2 linked regions of the Mus musculus genome follow. The protein of the gene in region 1 interacts with the protein of each later gene in a biochemical or structural test. Links are inferred from orthologs where the notes say so. Each region holds a gene or a part of one and is shown in the gene's direction. Other genes may lie near its edges.

What was found.
Region 2: the proteins of Noxo1 (region 1) and Cyba form a complex in vitro, tested with the Homo sapiens proteins (3 studies listed by IntAct). The link is inferred for Mus musculus from reciprocal best matches to the Homo sapiens genes NOXO1 and CYBA.

What each region holds. Positions count from the first base shown.
Region 1 is NC_000083.6:24,692,120-24,701,500, forward strand, and holds Noxo1 (NADPH oxidase organizer 1), read left to right. Parts: upstream 1-4,114; 5' UTR 4,115-4,877; exon of another isoform or gene 4,878-5,005; intron 5,006-5,517; exon of another isoform or gene 5,518-5,607; intron 5,608-6,100; 5' UTR 6,101-6,223; coding exon 6,224-6,289; intron 6,290-6,397; exon of another isoform or gene 6,398-6,398; coding exon 6,399-6,479; intron 6,480-6,666; coding exon 6,667-6,742; intron 6,743-6,825; coding exon 6,826-7,003; intron 7,004-7,149; coding exon 7,150-7,331; intron 7,332-7,424; coding exon 7,425-7,538; intron 7,539-7,778; coding exon 7,779-7,896; intron 7,897-8,001; coding exon 8,002-8,236; 3' UTR 8,237-8,405; downstream 8,406-9,381. Other genes in the region: Gfer (FAD-linked sulfhydryl oxidase ALR), read right to left, coding at 2,161-2,323, 3,135-3,331, 3,712-3,948; Tbl3 (transducin beta-like protein 3), read right to left, coding at 8,554-8,666, 8,757-8,915, 9,001-9,072, 9,161-9,264. UniProt on the Homo sapiens protein: Constitutively potentiates the superoxide-generating activity of NOX1 and NOX3 and is required for the biogenesis of otoconia/otolith, which are crystalline structures of the inner ear involved in the perception of gravity.
Region 2 is NC_000074.6:122,423,675-122,431,751, reverse strand, and holds the end of Cyba (cytochrome b-245 light chain), read left to right. Parts: intron 1-4,027; coding exon 4,028-4,097; intron 4,098-4,448; coding exon 4,449-4,523; intron 4,524-4,732; coding exon 4,733-4,816; intron 4,817-5,484; coding exon 5,485-5,566; intron 5,567-6,664; coding exon 6,665-6,874; 3' UTR 6,875-6,981; downstream 6,982-8,077. UniProt on the Homo sapiens protein: Subunit of NADPH oxidase complexes that is required for the NADPH oxidase activity that generates, in various cell types, superoxide from molecular oxygen utilizing NADPH as an electron donor.

The sequences.
Region 1 (9,381 bases):
AAGGCATGTGTGTTATCATACCTAGCTCTTTGGGGTTGGGGAGATTTAATGTGTTTTGAAAAAGGCAGTGGTGGCACAAGCCTTTAATCCCAGCACTCAGGAGGAAGAGGCAGGAAGATGTCTGTGAAGTCCCAGGCCAAGCTGGTCTTCTACAGGTTTTGAGTTCCAAGCCCGCCAGGGCCACACAGAGAAACCCTGCGTATGTTTGGGGAGAGGACACGGCAACAAAGGTGTCTGGAGTGTTTTGCCTGGATATATTTCTGAATGGGCTTTGTACGTGGTAGCCACAGAGACCAGAAGAGGGTAATGGGTCCCCCGGGACTGGAGTTACTGATCGAGTCACTACATGGGTGATGGAACAGCAAGCAGCCAGTGCTCTTAAGTGAAGTATAAATAGGAGGCTAGTGTGTGTATGCGACTTCAGGGAAAGCCAGGAAAAGGGGAAGTGACAAGGGGAAGGAGCAAAGTTAGCCAGCAGTACAAGCAGATGATCACAGCTTTTAACAGGAAACCCTTGGTTCCATAGCATGGCTGCATTAAGCCTCATCAGAGAGTAGTCCTGGAAAAGGAAAGGGGCAGCTTCTCAGCCGGCCAGCTGCTCCTGTATCCTTTCTGCTGTTGGACCCCTCTGAGTATCCTCTGTAGAAGCCAGCACACCTAAGGGCCTCCTTAGGTGGGGAAGTCATGCCACCTGTGATCATAGGACTGGGGCACACATGCTGCTGGGATGCTGTGGTTGGGAGTCTGGCCTCAAGGATCGATCCAGCCGAGCAGATCCAGAGATGCTCAACAGCTGCAGAGTTTATACTCAGCAGTTCTCAACTTCACCGAGACACAATCCCAGCTGGCGACACTCTGACCACTCCCCATTTGTACCCCCACAGACCCCTAGTCTTCTTCAGCTTCTTCATCACCCTGGAAATTCTGACACTCCCTGAAATGTGTGTCTCAGCTGCACCATGGTGACTTCTGCCAACTCCAGACAAGAGGGCCCAACTAATCACAGACAGGCCAAACCGAGCCAGTCCACCACTGTAAGCCCAAACACAAAGCACACAGAAACCAGCCCCTAAGTCACTTCAGTTTATTTTGGCCTCAAACGCTAAGGAAGCTGTTCCCAGGACCCTCTGCTGACATGCTTGTCATAGCTGCAGAAGACCATGTGCCAGGCTGACAGTGGGCACCATGGTTGGTACACCCTAAGAGAAAAACCCTGCTGGAGCTGGGGAACCCTGCTTCAATTCTGAAATGGCAGAGTTGCCAGGATCACAGTTCTTGTAGGCAGCCAGGGCTGTGTAGTAGTAAGGCAATCATCTAGCCCATCTTCCTTTGGGGCAACTATGTCCCAAATGAAGGGTACGAGGCACCTGGACCACTCCTGCCTCTCACCTTCAGTCTCATGGGGCTTTCGCTGAGGAGGCCACCCAAGTGTCTGTAGTAGGCACCTCCATTTCTTAATCCTGTGGCAGGGTTCCCAGAGGCAGTGTTCAAAGCTTAAACTCAGGATTTGCACAAACCTTACACCCCAGCCTGAACTCAGGGCTAACCCAGAGTTTAACCCCTTCCTTGACGTCTTCTAGCGTGACTTCTGGCTTGTCGTCCGGGATGACTTCCCGCCTGACGCCATCAGTTACTCCGGTGTATGCACCTGGGTTCCCTTCAGTTGTAGCTCCAAACTTCAGTTTAGGGGTAGAGCCAAATTCATTACAGACTCTGAAGCTAATGCAGATCCGAAAGCCCCTTCTCAAGTCGTCTTTGCTGGATCAGAACTTGACAGAAGAGGAAGTCAATATGAAATTTGTTCAAGATCTCTTGAACTGGGTTGATGAGATGCAGGTGCAGCTGGACCGCACTGAATGGGGCTCAGATTTGCCAAGTGTTGAAAGCCATTTAGAAAACCATAAAAATGTTCACCGAGCCATTGAAGAATTTGAATCCAGCCTTAAGGAAGCTAAAATTAGTGAGATTCAGATGACAGCGCCTCTGAAACTCTCTTACACAGATAAGTTGCACAGATTAGAGAGTCAGTACGCTAAACTCTTGAATACATCCAGAAATCAACTACAGAAACAAGTGTTGGCTCAGATGCACTTTAATCGTCAATCAGGCTGTTGCCCATAGAACCAGGCTAGATGCCCCTCACGAACTGCTGGTAATCTTCTAGTCACAGGAGCCGTCCTTCCAGCCGTCACGCCAACGCTCATCTACTCTCGAGCAGTCAAAATCAGGCTTGCCCAGCTTCCGATTCACCTCATTGTGCAGGCGGCACAGCCACTGGCTGAAGGATACTCGAGTGCTTGTGTCTGGCTGGTTCCTGCCTATCCTTTGAGAGAAGCACAGAAGGATGTAAGGAGATCCCGGCCCCTCTGTCTCTGCCAGTGTCTGGAGACGGGAGTTGGGGCACTGCTATGACCTATCTTCCTGTAGGGGGATGGGGGGGGCCTGAATCTAGAGTTTCTAGGTAGGGCCTGGCACAAAGGACTGTTTCTCAGCACCAGGGGCACAATGCAGCTAGAGCTCCCCTCACTCCTAACTGCTTCAAATAGCAAGTGCAACCTAGGTTAGGCCACTGAGAGTGAGGGATGTTTACTTCAGTCCAGTTTTTTTTTTTTTTTTTTTGGTTTTTCGAGACAGGGTTTCTCTGTGTAGCCCTGGCTATCCTGGAACTCACTTTGTAGACCAGGCTGGCCTCGAACTCTGAAATCCGCCTGCCTCTGCCTCCCTTCAGTCCAGTTTTTAAAGCTGGTAACTAAGCTGAGAGATTGGCTTGAGCCCCATAAGGAAGAGCTATAAGGACTGGGCTTTTGAGGAAGGAGAAGGCCCCCAAACCCCAACATCCCTTTTGGTGTCCCCTCTCCTAGGAACCTGTCACTTCTGAATCTACTGTTCTAGGCCCCTCTCTATGACATCAGCTATGCCCCCCCCCCTTTTTTTGTGTTTCTTTGAGACAGGGTTTCTCTGTGTAGCCCTGGCTGTCCTGGAACTCACTCTGTAGAGCAGGCTGGCCTCGAACTCAGAAAACCACCTGCCACTGCTTGCCAAGTGCTGGGATTAACGGCGTGCGCCACCACCGCCCGGCATCAGCTAGGCCCGCTCTAGGGACCTTACTGACAAGAGGTATAGCCACAACTTACCTCTTCCTTATGTCTTCCGCACATTCCTCGCAGGGGTAAAACTTGGAAAATATATGTATGAACTGGGCCATATCCTGTTGTTGTTCTGGCGTGGGCCTGTCCGGGTAATAGGCGGCCAGCGTATGGAGGAAAGCCCAGGTGTGGCGACCCAATTCTTCCCGATCCTGTGGACAGTCCTCCCTAAACTTGATGTCCCGCTGCAGAAGTAGGCCGACTAAAGGTCAATTCACTCTTACCCAACCAGAAAGCCCATAAAATTCCAACCCAGTGGCAGACTGCTTGCGTTGTACGCCAGAGGCCTTCGGTTCGAATTCCCATTATCACTAATAATAATCATAATAATAATAATAAAGGAAACAAGAACGCTCCCTTTTTCAGTTGACAGCCTACTAACTCGATCTGACTAGCCAGTGGCTGAAAGCGCAAAAGTTTGAGCCTAACGGTGTGTGTGGGTGAGGGGTAAACATGTTTAGGCATAGCCAACCCTGAGGGTTTGGGCCGTGCGGTAGCCGAACGGGAACCTGGAAACCAGGTGTGTGGGGGACCGGGACCGGGCGGCCAAGCGGGGCATCTGCACCTTCTGCTGGGTCCGCATCCACGACTTGAAGTCCACGCAGGCCCGGCACGGTCGCTTCCCGTGCTCCAAACCTTGCGGCGCCGGGGCCGCGGCAGGGGTGGTGTCGTCTCTATGCCTTGCGCCGCGGCCCCGCGCGTCAGTCACCAGGTCGTCGGTCATCTCGGAGCGCGCGCCGCCCGGCAGGAAGGAGAAGCGACTGCCGCGAGGGAAGCCCGCCGGCTCGCTGGGCGCCGCCATCTTGCTGGCGTGCGGGCAGCGGGGCCAAGAGGGCGTGCCGGCGACAGTTCGGAGGAGCGTGCACGCCACCGCCGGCGCGCGGCGGCAGGAGCGGGAACCGCAGCCCGGGGCTGGGCTCAGGCCGGGGCAGGAGGCGGGGCCTGGCGGCGGGGCGGGGCTGGGGGCCGAGGCGGCGGCCCGGGTCGCGGAGGCGTAGGAGGCCTCGGGGCGGGAGGAGGCGGCGCCGGAGGCCCAGGCCGAGGCGGCACTGGCGGCTGCGGCTCCGGCTCTGCGGGTACTCTTGCGCCTGGTGACCCGCCGCGAGCCCGGCGTGCGTGGTCCATGGTGGGGTTCAGGCTTCCTCCGGCAGATGTGAAGTGTGTCGTGGAAGGCGCGCTGCGGCTGTGCTGAGATCTTGGACTGAGATGAGTTCCGAGATGCTTCTCGCATCACCCCCATCGCTTGGCTCAGACACCTAAGGGCGGCAAAATTTGGGGTCTTCCTGCCTTACGACGTGCCCACCTACACGCTTCTCGGTGCCTTAGCAACGCGCGACGGGGCGTGGCCTCACAGAGACCAGACAGTACTTATTGCCAGAGGCTACCTGTGCCCTAGTAACTGTCCCCCACTGCGCAACCTTGAGAGAGGGCGTGTCCTCATCCTCTAGCTTGGATAAAAGATTATTATGCCTATTTTAATAGCAGCCTCAGGAATTTCTTCCTTTTTTTTTTTCTTTTGGAGACAGGGTCTCATGTAACTTGGACTAACTTTGAACTCTGTATGTAGCTGAGTGAAGATGATGTTGAATTCTTGAATCTTTTTGCCACCACACCACCTCTTCAAGTGTTTGACTTAAACGCCTGTGCCATCACAGGAAGAATTCCTTCCGCTGCCTCCATGTGTTCATTTACTCTTTCTGCAAATATTTGTAGAGTGGCTGCTCTCTCCAGGTGCTGTTTCCTCCACTGAGCAGAACAAGGAACAAGCCTCCCTCTTTAGCCTTTAACCAGTGATGCAAATGCGGAAAACCCAGTACACCAGAATCATATTTACAAAACTGATGAAAGCTGTGCAGGGGGTGAGGAGACCCTTAGGCACAGGCCTTTGGGATAAGAAATCAGCTCAAATGCTTGACATTTTACAGAAACACCAGTGACGCTGGGGGCAGGGTCTAGGGAAGGTAGAGGAGATAGAGGCAGAATCCAGAGTCCGGCAAGGCCTACTTATGACCATGGTAGCAACTGGCATTTTTTTCCCTAAAAACAGAGATGTTGGGCAATTTGGGACAGTGGATTTTGTGTGTGTGTGTGTGTGTGTATTTCAAGACAGGGTTTCTTAGTGTAACCAGTCTTGACTGTCCTGGACTCTCTTTGTAGACCAGGCTGGCCTTGATCTCAGAAATCTACCTGCCTCTGCCACCCAAATGCTGGGATTAAAGGCATGTGCTACCCCACTGAGAACAGATTTTTTTAAAGAGACAGGGAGGAACCCAGAGTTGGGGGCTCCTCTGTGTGCATCTGAGAGAGGCAGTGGCTAGATAGAGTGAAGAGCATCTAAGGTTGGGAGGGGTAGACAGGGGCTGTCAACTGAGTGGTAAGAGGGGCTCACAATTCCTCACTTTTCCAGCTTCTGTCTTCTGACTTCCAACATTTCTGAAAAAAAGCCAGAAAGTTATTAAAGGTAATGCCAAGACTTAGCTAAGTAAGGAGATTGGCTTTATGACCTAGCTACTCGGGAGCCTAAGACAGTAATATTCCCAACTTTGGCAAAACCCTATCTCAAAGCAAAACAAGACAAAAACAACCAACCAAAACCAAACCAAACCAAAGCAACCAAAAAAGGACCCAGTAGTTGACTCAAGGTTGTCTGTGTCTGTAACATACTGTACTGTAGCCCAGGGTGGATTCAAAGAGCAAGCTGTTAGGCACACCCTGGAGGAGGTCACAGCAGGATGAAGAGGCAGAGGGGGCAGGTGAAGTTGAGGCGGCAGGTGCTTTGGTGGTGGAACTCCCTACAGTTTTTCTTCCCCTGACTAAGGAAGGAGAGGAGCCCCAGGTGGTTCTGTTTGAGAACAGTCTTGTACAAAGGGCCTTTTCTTCCATCTGCCCAGGCTTGCCCCTCCCCCTGGCAGTCTTCCTGTGATGAATCCTCTCTCGTTTTTTTGTGCTTCAAGAACCAGGAAACTGAACTCTTTCCTGGATTGTGAGTGCTTCGAAGGGACTCTACTTAGGGCAGTGTTGGGGAATTCCACTTCACTTCTTCCGGATGCTCGGAGCTCCTTCAAGCATCCATAGTCATGGCAAGCCCAAGACACCCAGTATCAGCCCATGCTGTAGCCTTGGTGCAAATGGACCGACTCCAGGTAGACCACACTGCCCCGTCCCTCACCCCTGCACCGATTGTCTCCAAAGATGCAAAAGGAAAACTGGCAAAGACTGAAGGAGATGTCGCCTCTACCTTTCCTCACACAGACATTTGCCTTCTCCGTGTGCTGGTCAGACAACAGTGACACATTTGTGCGGAGGAGCTGGGATGAGTTCAGGCAGCTCCAGGTAAGTTAACACTGGGACTATACTCCAGTGGGTATTGGCTCCAGTCCAGAGTCCTCTGGATACTCCATCTGTGGATGACCTCAGTCCAAGGACCTCCCCTTCTGCCTGTAGGAGCTCTTCTAGGGACCCTTCCCTCCCTAGGGGGTTCTCTCCATCTCAAAGACTAACACCTGCTCCTCCCCACCAGAAGACCCTTAAGAAAACCTTCCCAGTGGAGGCAGGCCTGCTACGGAGATCTGAACAAGTTCTTCCCAAGCTTCCTGGTCAGGCCTGTAAGGGTCATGGGATGGTAAGGGCAGTGTGCGTGAGTGGGGCCCCACAGTGTGTGCTTGTGATACCCGGGCAGATGCTCCATTGCTGACACGTCGGGGGCATACTGGTCGAGGACTGGTACGTTTGCGGCTGCTGGACACCTATGTACAGGCATTGCTGGCAACCTCAGAACACATATTGAGGAGTTCAGCACTTCACGGCTTCTTTGTACCCAAACCTCTGGATCTGGAGCCCATGCTGCCTCCTGGCAGGTGACTAACCTTCACCCTGCTCCCAGCCAATGCACTTGTTGGAGGGTCAGATGAGAAGGCTGGGCTGATATATATATATATATGAAAAGGGGTAGTCCCAGCCTCCTTCCTACTTATTTCTTACATGTGTGGGCTGCACTGCCCAGCCTGGTGATCCTGCCTACACCAGAGGAGCCCTTATCCCAACCCAGAGGCAGCCTTGACATTCATAGCCTGGAGGCTCAGAGCATTCCCTGTGTACAGCCTTTCCACACTCTTGACATAAGAGACAGACCTTTCCACACCAAGGCTCAAGAAATTCTGGACATATTACTACGACATCCTTCAGGTAAAACCTCACTATTAAGAACCTGGGGTTTTCCCTCTGTTCAAAATGGATGCAGACCTAGGTATCTGAGCCCTTTCCTGGCCTCTTAAACAGGCTGGTGGCTGGTGGAGAACAAGGATCAGCAGGTAGCCTGGTTTCCAGCTCCCTACCTGGAGGAGGTAGCAACGTGCCAAGGCCAGGAGTCAGGCCTGGCTTTGCAAGGAAGTGGTATGAGCCCATCCCTACTATAAACTCAGCACTATGAGTGGACCTAGACCTTTGGCAAGGCCAATACCACACCCAGGAGGGAGGTAGTAGTGGGGCACTAGGCATGTGGGTGCTGCTTAGAGCCAGGAGCAAGCCCAAGTGGGTTTCAGAGCAGTGCAGGGTGCCCAGAGGCCAGGCCAGGAACGGTGAGGGTGGACTCTGACCTTCAGCTCCACAGTGGTCCCCACATCCCTATCTTAGGGAGGCAGTTCTGCACTACTCAGGCCTACGAGGGCAGTCGCTCTGATGAGCTATCCGTGCCCTCAGGGGCACGTGTCCATGTGCTGGAGACCTCAGACCGAGGCTGGTGGCTGTGCAGGTACAGTGAAGTGTGTGTGTCTCTGTGTGGTGGAGCAGTGGCAGGCTCTGCCTGGCCGGACGGGAACATAGGTAACTCCTTAACCAAGCCCTGCTTTTCCTGCAGGTATAATGGCCGGACAGGCCTACTCCCTGCAATGTCGCTGCAACCTGAAGGGCTGGGCTCGCTCCTGGGCAGGCCAGGGTTCCCAGACAGTGCTGGGGCAGACAAGGTGGCTGAGGACAGGACCATTCCCCCTGTAGTACCAACTCGTCCCTGTATGAGTGCCATCCAGAGTCGATGCTGCTCCATTACCCGCAGGGCACTGGGACAGGAACAAGGGACTCGGGTTCCCCGTTGAGGATTGTATTGCTGCTCTGCAGAGAGGTTGTACTGTCAAAGCCAACCTCAGGCAAAGCAGGGATCTAGACCTCACCAAGAAAGCAGGATTAAGAGTGGGGCTCTATGGCTGGCAGGGCCACGGGCCAGCTAACTTTCTATTTCCTCTAAATAAAACTGGAATGACTTCACCCAAATCACTGTGCACTGAGGGAATGGGGCGGGGTGGGCTTGAATTCCTAGAGATGACGCCTCGGTCAGCCAAGTGTGGCCAAGGACTTTGGGAGAGACTGATCAGATTCACATGAGAAACCAAGTTAGAAAGTTAACTTTTCTGTTTCATAGGGCTGGGGGAGCTGCAGCAGGGCATGGGGACAGCTTCATGTTGTGCCACAGGAAGTCCAGGAAGGTGGCTGCTTGCAGTGTCCTGCTAAGCCGCTGAAAGTGCCGCTCTAGAGGAAAACAGAGGAGGCTCAGGCTGGGGTGGGGGTTGTCTGTGAACCCACTAGGAGCATCCCTGGACCCAGGACCATGTCACATACCAGTGTAGGGCAGCAAGGCCTCCAGTGACCCCCGCACCCCGTCGTAGGCCAGCAGCTCCTCAGGAGCCTCGTGCCGCAGCAGCACACCAAGCACAGCCTGGGCTTCGTGGCAATGTCTGGAGTTTGTGTTCCACGTGACACAGAAGCGCAGCAGGGCCTCTGTAGGTAACAGATGGTCACCAACCCCATTCTGCCCACCAGGCCACCCCCTCCCCAGCCTGGTTTCTTCCAGCCTGCCCACAACCTTTCTGGTCTCTTCGCAGTCGGAGTACAGTGGCTTCCAGCTTCTCACAGGCCTCAGGATCTCTCCGGATGGCTATGAGAGGAAAGTCTGAGCTTGAGGAAAGGGCTCACCAATCCCTGGAGCCTCCCCTACCCCACCTCCTCCTGGGGTAGGCGCTGACCCTGGATAACGGTCAGCACAGTGTGGGGACGATCCAGAGAGATGGCAAGGCCTAGTGCCCGGAGATACCGCTTCTCATGGAGCAGGTTGTCCAGTTCTTGCTGCCTGGTGGGACAGAGGAAAGCACATGGTCACTCAGAGACCCCGGCTCAGCCTGAGTGCCCATAAGTATGAACCCTACCCCGGCCCATTTCCTGTGCTGCACAGTAGGAACATGCAGGG
Region 2 (8,077 bases), on another chromosome or scaffold:
TGTACTGCCTCAGCTAATTGTTCAGGGTGTTCAGGCTGACACAAGTCTCCTGTGCTGAGGAGTCACAGGCTGTGGCCACTTACTTTCTCCACCGAGTGTGACTTCCGCTAACTTTTCTTTTTACGGGAAAGCACAACTGTCCTGGGAAGGTTCTGAACTGTCTAGGTCCAATCAACAGGGATGTACTTTGTTTCCTTTTGTTTTTTTAACATTTGATTTTTTTCAGATTGTGTGTGTGTCTGGCCATGTGTGTAAGTGCGGGGGCGCTTGCAGACAAAGGCTAGAAGAGGGTATTGGAACCCATGGAGCTGGTGTTACATACGGGTGGCTCTGAACTGCCTGATGCGGGTGCTGAGAACCCCACTCAGGTCCCTTGGAGAGCAACCCTCGCTACTAATCCCTGAGCCATCTCTCCAGCCCCCTATTTTGTTTTTTTCTAAATCACAGAAAATTCCATCTGTTCTGGCCCCATTACCTGGCTCCATCTCAAGACGAAAGCCCGTTCCTGACCCCCCTGCTTGTCTCCTGGGCTCTTCCTGCCTTCCTTGCTAGGTTGCTCCTTCTCTGTCTCTGAGTTTCCTGAATGTGCACGGGGAGGGGGGCGGGGGGGGGGGGCTTTTTGTACAATTGGCTGGGGTCACAGCTGATGCCTCCTTTTCAGTCTTGACTCAGATGCCACCTGCTGAGACATCAACCTCAGATAGTGGGCTTCCCTGGGATTGAACCCTCTGTTACAGTGTATCACTTCAGCAAGCCAGGGGCTTGAGAATCAGTCCTTGGGTCTCCCTGTTGGGTAAAGAATGACCCCTCCCACTCATGGTGGTCAGTGTAGCAGAAGCTCACAGTGAGGACATGAGTCCCTAAGGACTATGGGTAGCAGGCCGAGTGAATGTGTGACAAAGTACCCTTCCCTCCTGCAGAGTGCACCCTTAAAGCTGACCAGCAAAACAGGAAGGTTAATATGTAGCCGAGCTTCAAGCCCAGCATAGCAAAACACCAATACTATTTAAAGAGTGGGAGAGGGACCTGGAGTCTGGGGATGTCCAGAACAGCATGGAAGCTTTTCCTGAGGCTGCTCCAGGGTCTTCGTACTGAAGAAGGCAGGAGTCAGCACCCTAGCAAGATTGTCATAGAGCATCAGTCCCTCCAGCTGCCAAGAGCTGTTGCTGCCAGGGATCCCAAACAGCCAAAGCCTGAGACCTGGGCCTGAGGAGGGTGTAGGGGTGAGGCTGCCTCCACCCACAGATGCAGAAACTAGAGACCTCAAGTAGGCCTATGGGTGGCTGTGGGATTAACACCCTATTGGCATGAGGTCACACTCACCGTTTGAGGAAGTGAACCCTGTGAGGAGTCGGCACCCACTGGGCAGGGGGGCTGGTCCCACTGGAAAGAGGGACCCGTGTTCTTGAATGTCAAAGGAGATAAATGGCCACCTGGATCTGAGAAAGGGAATTTTGTAGACACACACACCGATCAGCTCTTGATGGTAGTGGGTACACTGCGAATGTATCACCTTGAAGAAGGAAACAGAAGGAAGCCAAGAGGAACCACACAGACGTGGAGCTTTCTACACAGAAGTTGTGTCACACGTTGTACAAGAAGGGCGAGCATGTGAGACGCTGAGTTCCCCAGTGTGGGGGAGGGCTTGGAGGCTTCGCAAGCACTGCCCAGAGATGAGGAGACTTTAGGCTGAAGAGAAAAAGAAGTCTTTTTTTTTTCCAGAACGAATGGAAACAAATCCCTCCTTGGATCCACGAAAGTGAAATTAGACAAAGAGAGAAAAAGTCATGGGTTACTACCAGGCTAGAGTTCCCAGACCTATCGTGGATGCCAGGAGACGGTGCAGTGATAATCGGATATTGAGAAAAGAATACATCTCCGCTGGCAAGATCCTGCTGTGTTTCAGCTACCGAGCCTCTGTGCAGTGGTGGCTAGCGGATGTTGCCGTAGCGAGAGGGAAACTGAATCCAGAGATGAGCTGATGGTCGAGAGAGAGGACAGAAACTGCCAGATGAGAAACAAGTTAGGGAGCAAAAGCAAAGCGGAGCTTCCTAGGGCCCACCCACAGCCGCGAGGAATCTTGCGATAAGTAGCCTTAAAGATCTGGGAGAATTAATTTTCAAATGTGAGGACAGGAAAGAGAACTTGACTCTGCGTGTTTCTGTTTGAAAAGTAGCAATGATACCTCACTGTACCTTTGAAAATCCTTGCTAAAACATATATATATATTTTTTTTTTTTTACTAAAATCTTTATTGAGTAAAACTTAATTTTTTTTTATTGTTTGAAACAGGGTGTGGGCCTGAAATCTGTGATCCTTCTGTCTTAGCCTCAAGGGTGCTGGGATTCCATACATGGCCACACCTAGCTGAAAAACAATACTTTGGACGAGTGGCCGGAGCTCTTAAACATTGACCTATCGCTCCAGCTCTTCTATCTTTTTAAAATTTACTTATTTTATATATAGGAGTACACTATAGCTGTCTTCAGACACAGCAGAAGAGGAAATCAGATCTCATAACAGATGTTTGTGAGCCACCATGTGGTTGCTGGGAATTGAACTCAGGACCTCTTCCAGAGCAGTCAGTGCTCTTAACCTCTGAGCCATCTCTCCAACACCTCTCTGGTTCTTTTGTAACCAAAATCTTCAGATGTTTCTTACACTTGGTGTGTCACGAATCTCCCTAAAACTACAACACGGTCTCCTAGTTTTTATTTGCTTACCTGTTTGTTTTGAGACAGGGTTTCAGGCTGGTCTCAGATTCACTAAGTTGCAGAAGATGACTCTGAATTCCTGGCCCTCCCACAGTCATCCCCTGAGTACTAGGATTCTAGGGACTTAAATGTATCCCAGCCACTCCTGGAGCATACTGTGTAAGCGAGGCTGGCCTTGGACTCACGGTCTTCCTGCCTCCCCCTTCCAAGTGCTGAGATTACATGCAAGTACCATGTCCAGCCTATGCAGCCCTGGGGGTTGCACTGAGGACTTTGTGCGTGCTAGGCAAGCCCCCCACCAACCCAGCCATGTCTCCAGCCTTTGCTTGTTTGTTCGTTTGAGGCACAATCACGCTGGGCGGTGGTGGCGCACGCCTTTAATCCCAGCACTTGGGAGGCAGCGGCAGGCAGATTACTGAATTCGAGGCCAGCCTGGTCTACAGAGTGAATTCCAGGACAGCCAGGGCTACACAGAGAAACCCTGTCTCGAAAAACCAACTAAAACAGAAGAAGAGGAGGAGGAGGGTGGTCCATGCCTGCAACACAAACACATGGGGCGAGGAGTTCCAGACCAGCCGGTAGCAACAACACCAGAGTGAGCCCCTGATTATTTACAGAGCACCTCACTTCAACTTCATGTGAGCTAAAGACATAGATACAAGAACTTCCTGAAATGAAGGAGGTTGCCCGTTGTGTGGTTCCGGGGTGGGGATGGGTGTGGGGACCCAAGCATAACGCTCGTGTAATTCTACTGTAACGAAGTCTTGGGCGGGCTGTCTGAGACATTAGTGGGGGTGAGGGTAGCATAGTACTGCAGGAAAGCTCCCCTCTCCCTCCTCCTCCCCTCCCCCTGTCCCTCCTCCCCCCAACAGGGTTTCTCTGTAGCCCTGGCTGTCCTGGAAGTCCCTCTGTAGACCAGGCTGGCCTTGGTCTCACAGACATCTGCCTGCCTCTGTCTCCTGAGTATTGGGATTGAAGGTATAATGCCACCAGCGCCCAGCTATACCCTCCCAACCCCTACCCCGGGACAGGGATGGAACCCAGAAATGTGCTACTTACAAAAGGACCAAGAGGTAACAGCATAGCTGAAAAGAGTTAACGTTCCAACCAGGGTGTAGCACTGGACAGCTATGGTGGAGTTCAGCTTGCTGCGGCTACCTCCCTGAGTGTCCTCTCTGTCCCTGAACCCCTTGCTGCACAGTGCTCTGCTCCAGTAGGCAGAGAATTGGAGATGGTCCCAAGCCCGGGGCAAGCTCAAGCTGGCTCACACCTGCAGCAGATGGCACATCCTAACCACCTCTCTCCATCCTTAGTTCTCATCACTGGGGGCATCGTGGCTACTGCTGGACGTTTCACACAGTGGTATTTCGGCGCCTACTCTATGTATCCTTCTACTGGGGACCAGGAAGGTGGGGTGATGGGAGTGCTCTCAGCATGAGCACATCAGTTCACGGAGTGCTACACATAGACTGACCACAGCCTCCAGAGACAGGACCAGCTCCGTCTGCAGCTTTAGAGGCCAAGGCCCAGGGCTGGATGCCCCCTTGCCAAAGGCCACAGACGGGGTTCAGGCAAATGTGGAGCTGAGGCCGAAGGTCCCAAGGCTTGGACTGGCGTCCATTGCCCCTCTGTCCCACCCTGCTGCACAGTAGACTCCTAGGCCAGGGCCTGAGAACAGAAGAGGCAGAGGGCAGCAGCCTAGGCCTAGCATGGCTTTCCTTAACCTCACCGCAGCGCTGCAGGTGTGCTCATCTGTCTGCTGGAGTATCCCCGGGGAAAGAGGAAAAAGGGGTCCACCATGGAGCGATGGTAAGTCATTCCTACCCGAGAGGCCTGGGGACCTGCCCCATGCAGCCCACTCGTCCAGAGCTCCCAGCCCAAGGCCTGCCCAGCTGCCAGGCTCATGTGCCCAGGAGGAAAAGGACCCATAACCCTGGAAGGGGACAGATAAGGAGTGACAAGGGCTTCTAGGTGTGGTCGGTGCTGACCCTCTGACGTTTTGTCTTCCCGCTGTCTAGTGGACAGAAGTACCTGACCTCTGTGGTGAAGCTTTTCGGGCCCCTCACCAGGAATTACTACGTCCGGGCTGCCCTCCACTTCCTGTGAGTCCCTCTGTCCATCCCCAGGGTAACAGAAGACTAGAAGGAGACACCCCATGGGTCTATAGCTTGGACAGGAAGGTATCGCCCAGCCAGCCAAGCCTCTTCTTCATTGAAGTTTATCCAGATAGAAAAGCTCAGCTTTGGGGCTGGAGAGATTGCTCAGCAGTTAGGAGCACTGACTGCTCTGGAAGAGGTCCTGAGTTCAATTCCCAGCAACCACATGGGCTCACAACCATCTGTAATAGAATCAGATACCCTCTCTTCTGGTGTGTCTGCAGACAGCTACACTGTACTCATATAAAACAAACAAATAAATCTTAGAAAAAGAAAAAGAAAAGCTTTTAGAGAGGCCCCAAACCTGCAGTGCACACCAAGCTTAGCACCTGAGCCACAGGTGCTGTACTGGGCTTGTTACACCTGCAGTTTGGGGACACACCCATATGGCCACGCTCCAGCTCGGGCCTTTTCCCCAGCAAGATGTCTGTGGCTTGAATCAAAGGACACATCGTCACAAAGAGGAGCTTCTACAAACCCCAAGCTGGACCTGATGAGAGCTAGCCTCTGCCCATCCCCCGTCCAGGGCCCCGGGGAGGGAATCTCCCTCTGCGACTGTGTGACCAGATGCCCACTGACTGCTATCTGTTTGCTTCCTCCTGTCATGCCTCAAGGTTGTCGGTGCCTGCAGGCTTCCTCCTGGCCACCATCCTGGGGACCGTCTGCTTGGCCATTGCCAGTGTGATCTATCTGCTGGTAAGTGGCTGCCCTCAATGGTCTGCCTCCCTCCCGCACCCACCCTCATGATCTTGGTGCCCGTGGCTCTCGGAGCAGCTTTCTCGCTCCCATTGGCTGTGTCGAATGCTCCTCTGCTGTATCCTGGGCACTTCCCTGATGAAGCTGTACTGTGGCTCGGAGAAGCAGCGTGGTTGGTCCAGGTCATACCTCCAAGCCTCCGTGTGGGCCCATGTCTCATCCAAGCCTGCCTGAGTTTGGGTGGTGTTAGGTGGACTTCCCAGGAGCTCATGACACAGAAGCATCTATTTTATTTATTCTTATTTTTATTTTGAGAAGAAGAGCAGGGTCTCATGTAGCCCAGACTAGCCTCAAACTTGCTCTGTAGTTGAAGATGGCTTTGAACTCCTGATCTTCCTGGTCCTCCGGCTTCTGTCTCCTGATGCTGGGATGACAGATATGTGCTGCTTCAGCTGGCCTAGTTTGTGTTCATTACAAGCCTTCTCTGTTCTAAGGTCATACAGATATCTCGCTGTGTCCTCTTCTGCCAGCTCCATTCTTACCATCTGGATAAAATATTCTGGTTTGTTGGTTAGAAGGCGTAGCCACAGGTGTGTGCTCACAGGTGTGTGCTCACAGGTGTGTGCTCACAGGTGTGTGCTGTGCTGCAGACTTTCTATCTCTCGAGCATTGTGGGATATGAAATCGATCTGTCAATTGATTCATTCTGGCTTTTTGAGACAGGGTTTCTCTGTGTAGCTTTGGCTGTCTTAGAACTCACCCTGTAGACCAGGCTGGCCTCGGACTCAGAGATCCACCTGCCTCTGCCTCCCGAGTGCTGGGATTAAAGGCGGGTGCCACCACTATTCAGCATTTTTTTTTAAAAGAATTGTTTATTTATTTTACGTATATAAGTACACTATTCCTGTCTTCAGACACACCAGAAAAGGCCATCAGATCCCATTACAAATGGTTGTGGTTTGCCATGTGGTTTCTGGGTATTGAATTCAGGACTTCTGGGAGAGCAGCAATCAGTGCCTCCAGCCCCAACCCATGTCCACTGGAGTCCCTAGGGACAGTAAGCAGCTTCAACCATAACATAGCCCCCCTCTGCCCCAGGCAGCCATCCGAGGTGAGCAGTGGACTCCCATTGAGCCTAAACCCAAGGAGCGGCCACAGGTTGGAGGCACCATCAAGCAACCACCTACCAACCCCCCACCCCGGCCACCCGCAGAGGTCCGAAAGAAGCCGAGTGAGGGTGAAGAGGAGGCAGCCTCAGCTGGAGGACCCCAGGTTAACCCAATGCCAGTGACAGATGAGGTCGTGTGACCTTCAGTGGCTGTCTACAGCTCCTGCTTGAGTTTCTGTGGAGTTGTCCCCCCCCCCCCAGGGTGGTGTTGCTCACTGTAATAAACATGATTAATAGCTGGTACGGACAAGAAATTCTCCATATGAGGCTGGGGGAGGGACTGTGGTCAGCAATGGATGGAACACACTCCCTGACCTGTTTGGTGACCCGAAGGCCAGTCATGGAAGGCCTCGTGACTGCCCGGTGGACCCTGGGTGGGCTCATGTTTACAAGTGAGACCCTGAGCCTAGTCCAAATCTGGTTCTTCCAAAAGCCACTGGCACCCAGTCCCCTCCACCCAGTGGAGCCAGAGTACAGGGTGCTACCCTGGTGGCTCCTGGCTCTGAGTGGGAGTTTAAGTCTCCAGTTTGGCTTTACAGCCCTGGGTCCCCATTGGGGAGAAGGCAGGTCCATGCTGGAAAGGTCTGTTGTGGCAGAGACTGTCTTGATGCAGGGGGTCATTCGTGGGGATTAGCCTCAGGCAGAGATGGTGTTGTCTGAACGGTCAAAGTAACAACAAACTGGGGGGGGGGGCACGATGTGGCTTTGAGGGACTGCCTGGGACTTCAGCTGCCTCCCATAGAAAGGTAGAGACCCAGGCCTGATGGCTCTGCCGAGCCCACGTGTTCAAGTCCCGCCCTACCACAGCAGGACCCACTCAACCTTAGGAAAGGAGTTTGGGGCTTTAGTTACCCTCTGAGCACCCACTCGGTGGACGGGGCCAGGAGGGAAGAAAAACGGACTGGTAGGGGTAAATGAAGGAGACACTGAACCGTGTCAGTTTAATAACAGTTAAAATAAATAGTTGTTGAAAAACAGATACTGAAGGGTTTCATCAGACAGAAGCCAGGGCTCTGTGGTGACACAGACCCAGCCTCCCATCTCCTTCCGGGTCACTGTTGCTAGAGATTCAAGGAGAGGAAGCCAGTTCCTTCGGGCCCATCCCACCATCTGGCTTCCCTGAAGCTCATTGTGTAGACCAGGCTGTCTGACGACCTGTGGCAACCTTCCAGCCTCTGCCGAGTGCTTAGGATTCCTGGTGTGCTTTATACCACGCCCAGCTTTCCCTTTGGTGACAGGGCTAGCTAAGTGGTCCTTCCAGATGTGGCCTGGATCAGGGCAGTGGTTATGGGTCACAAGGCAAAGGCTGGGCATAGCTTCTGCTTCTCTTGAGTCAATAAATA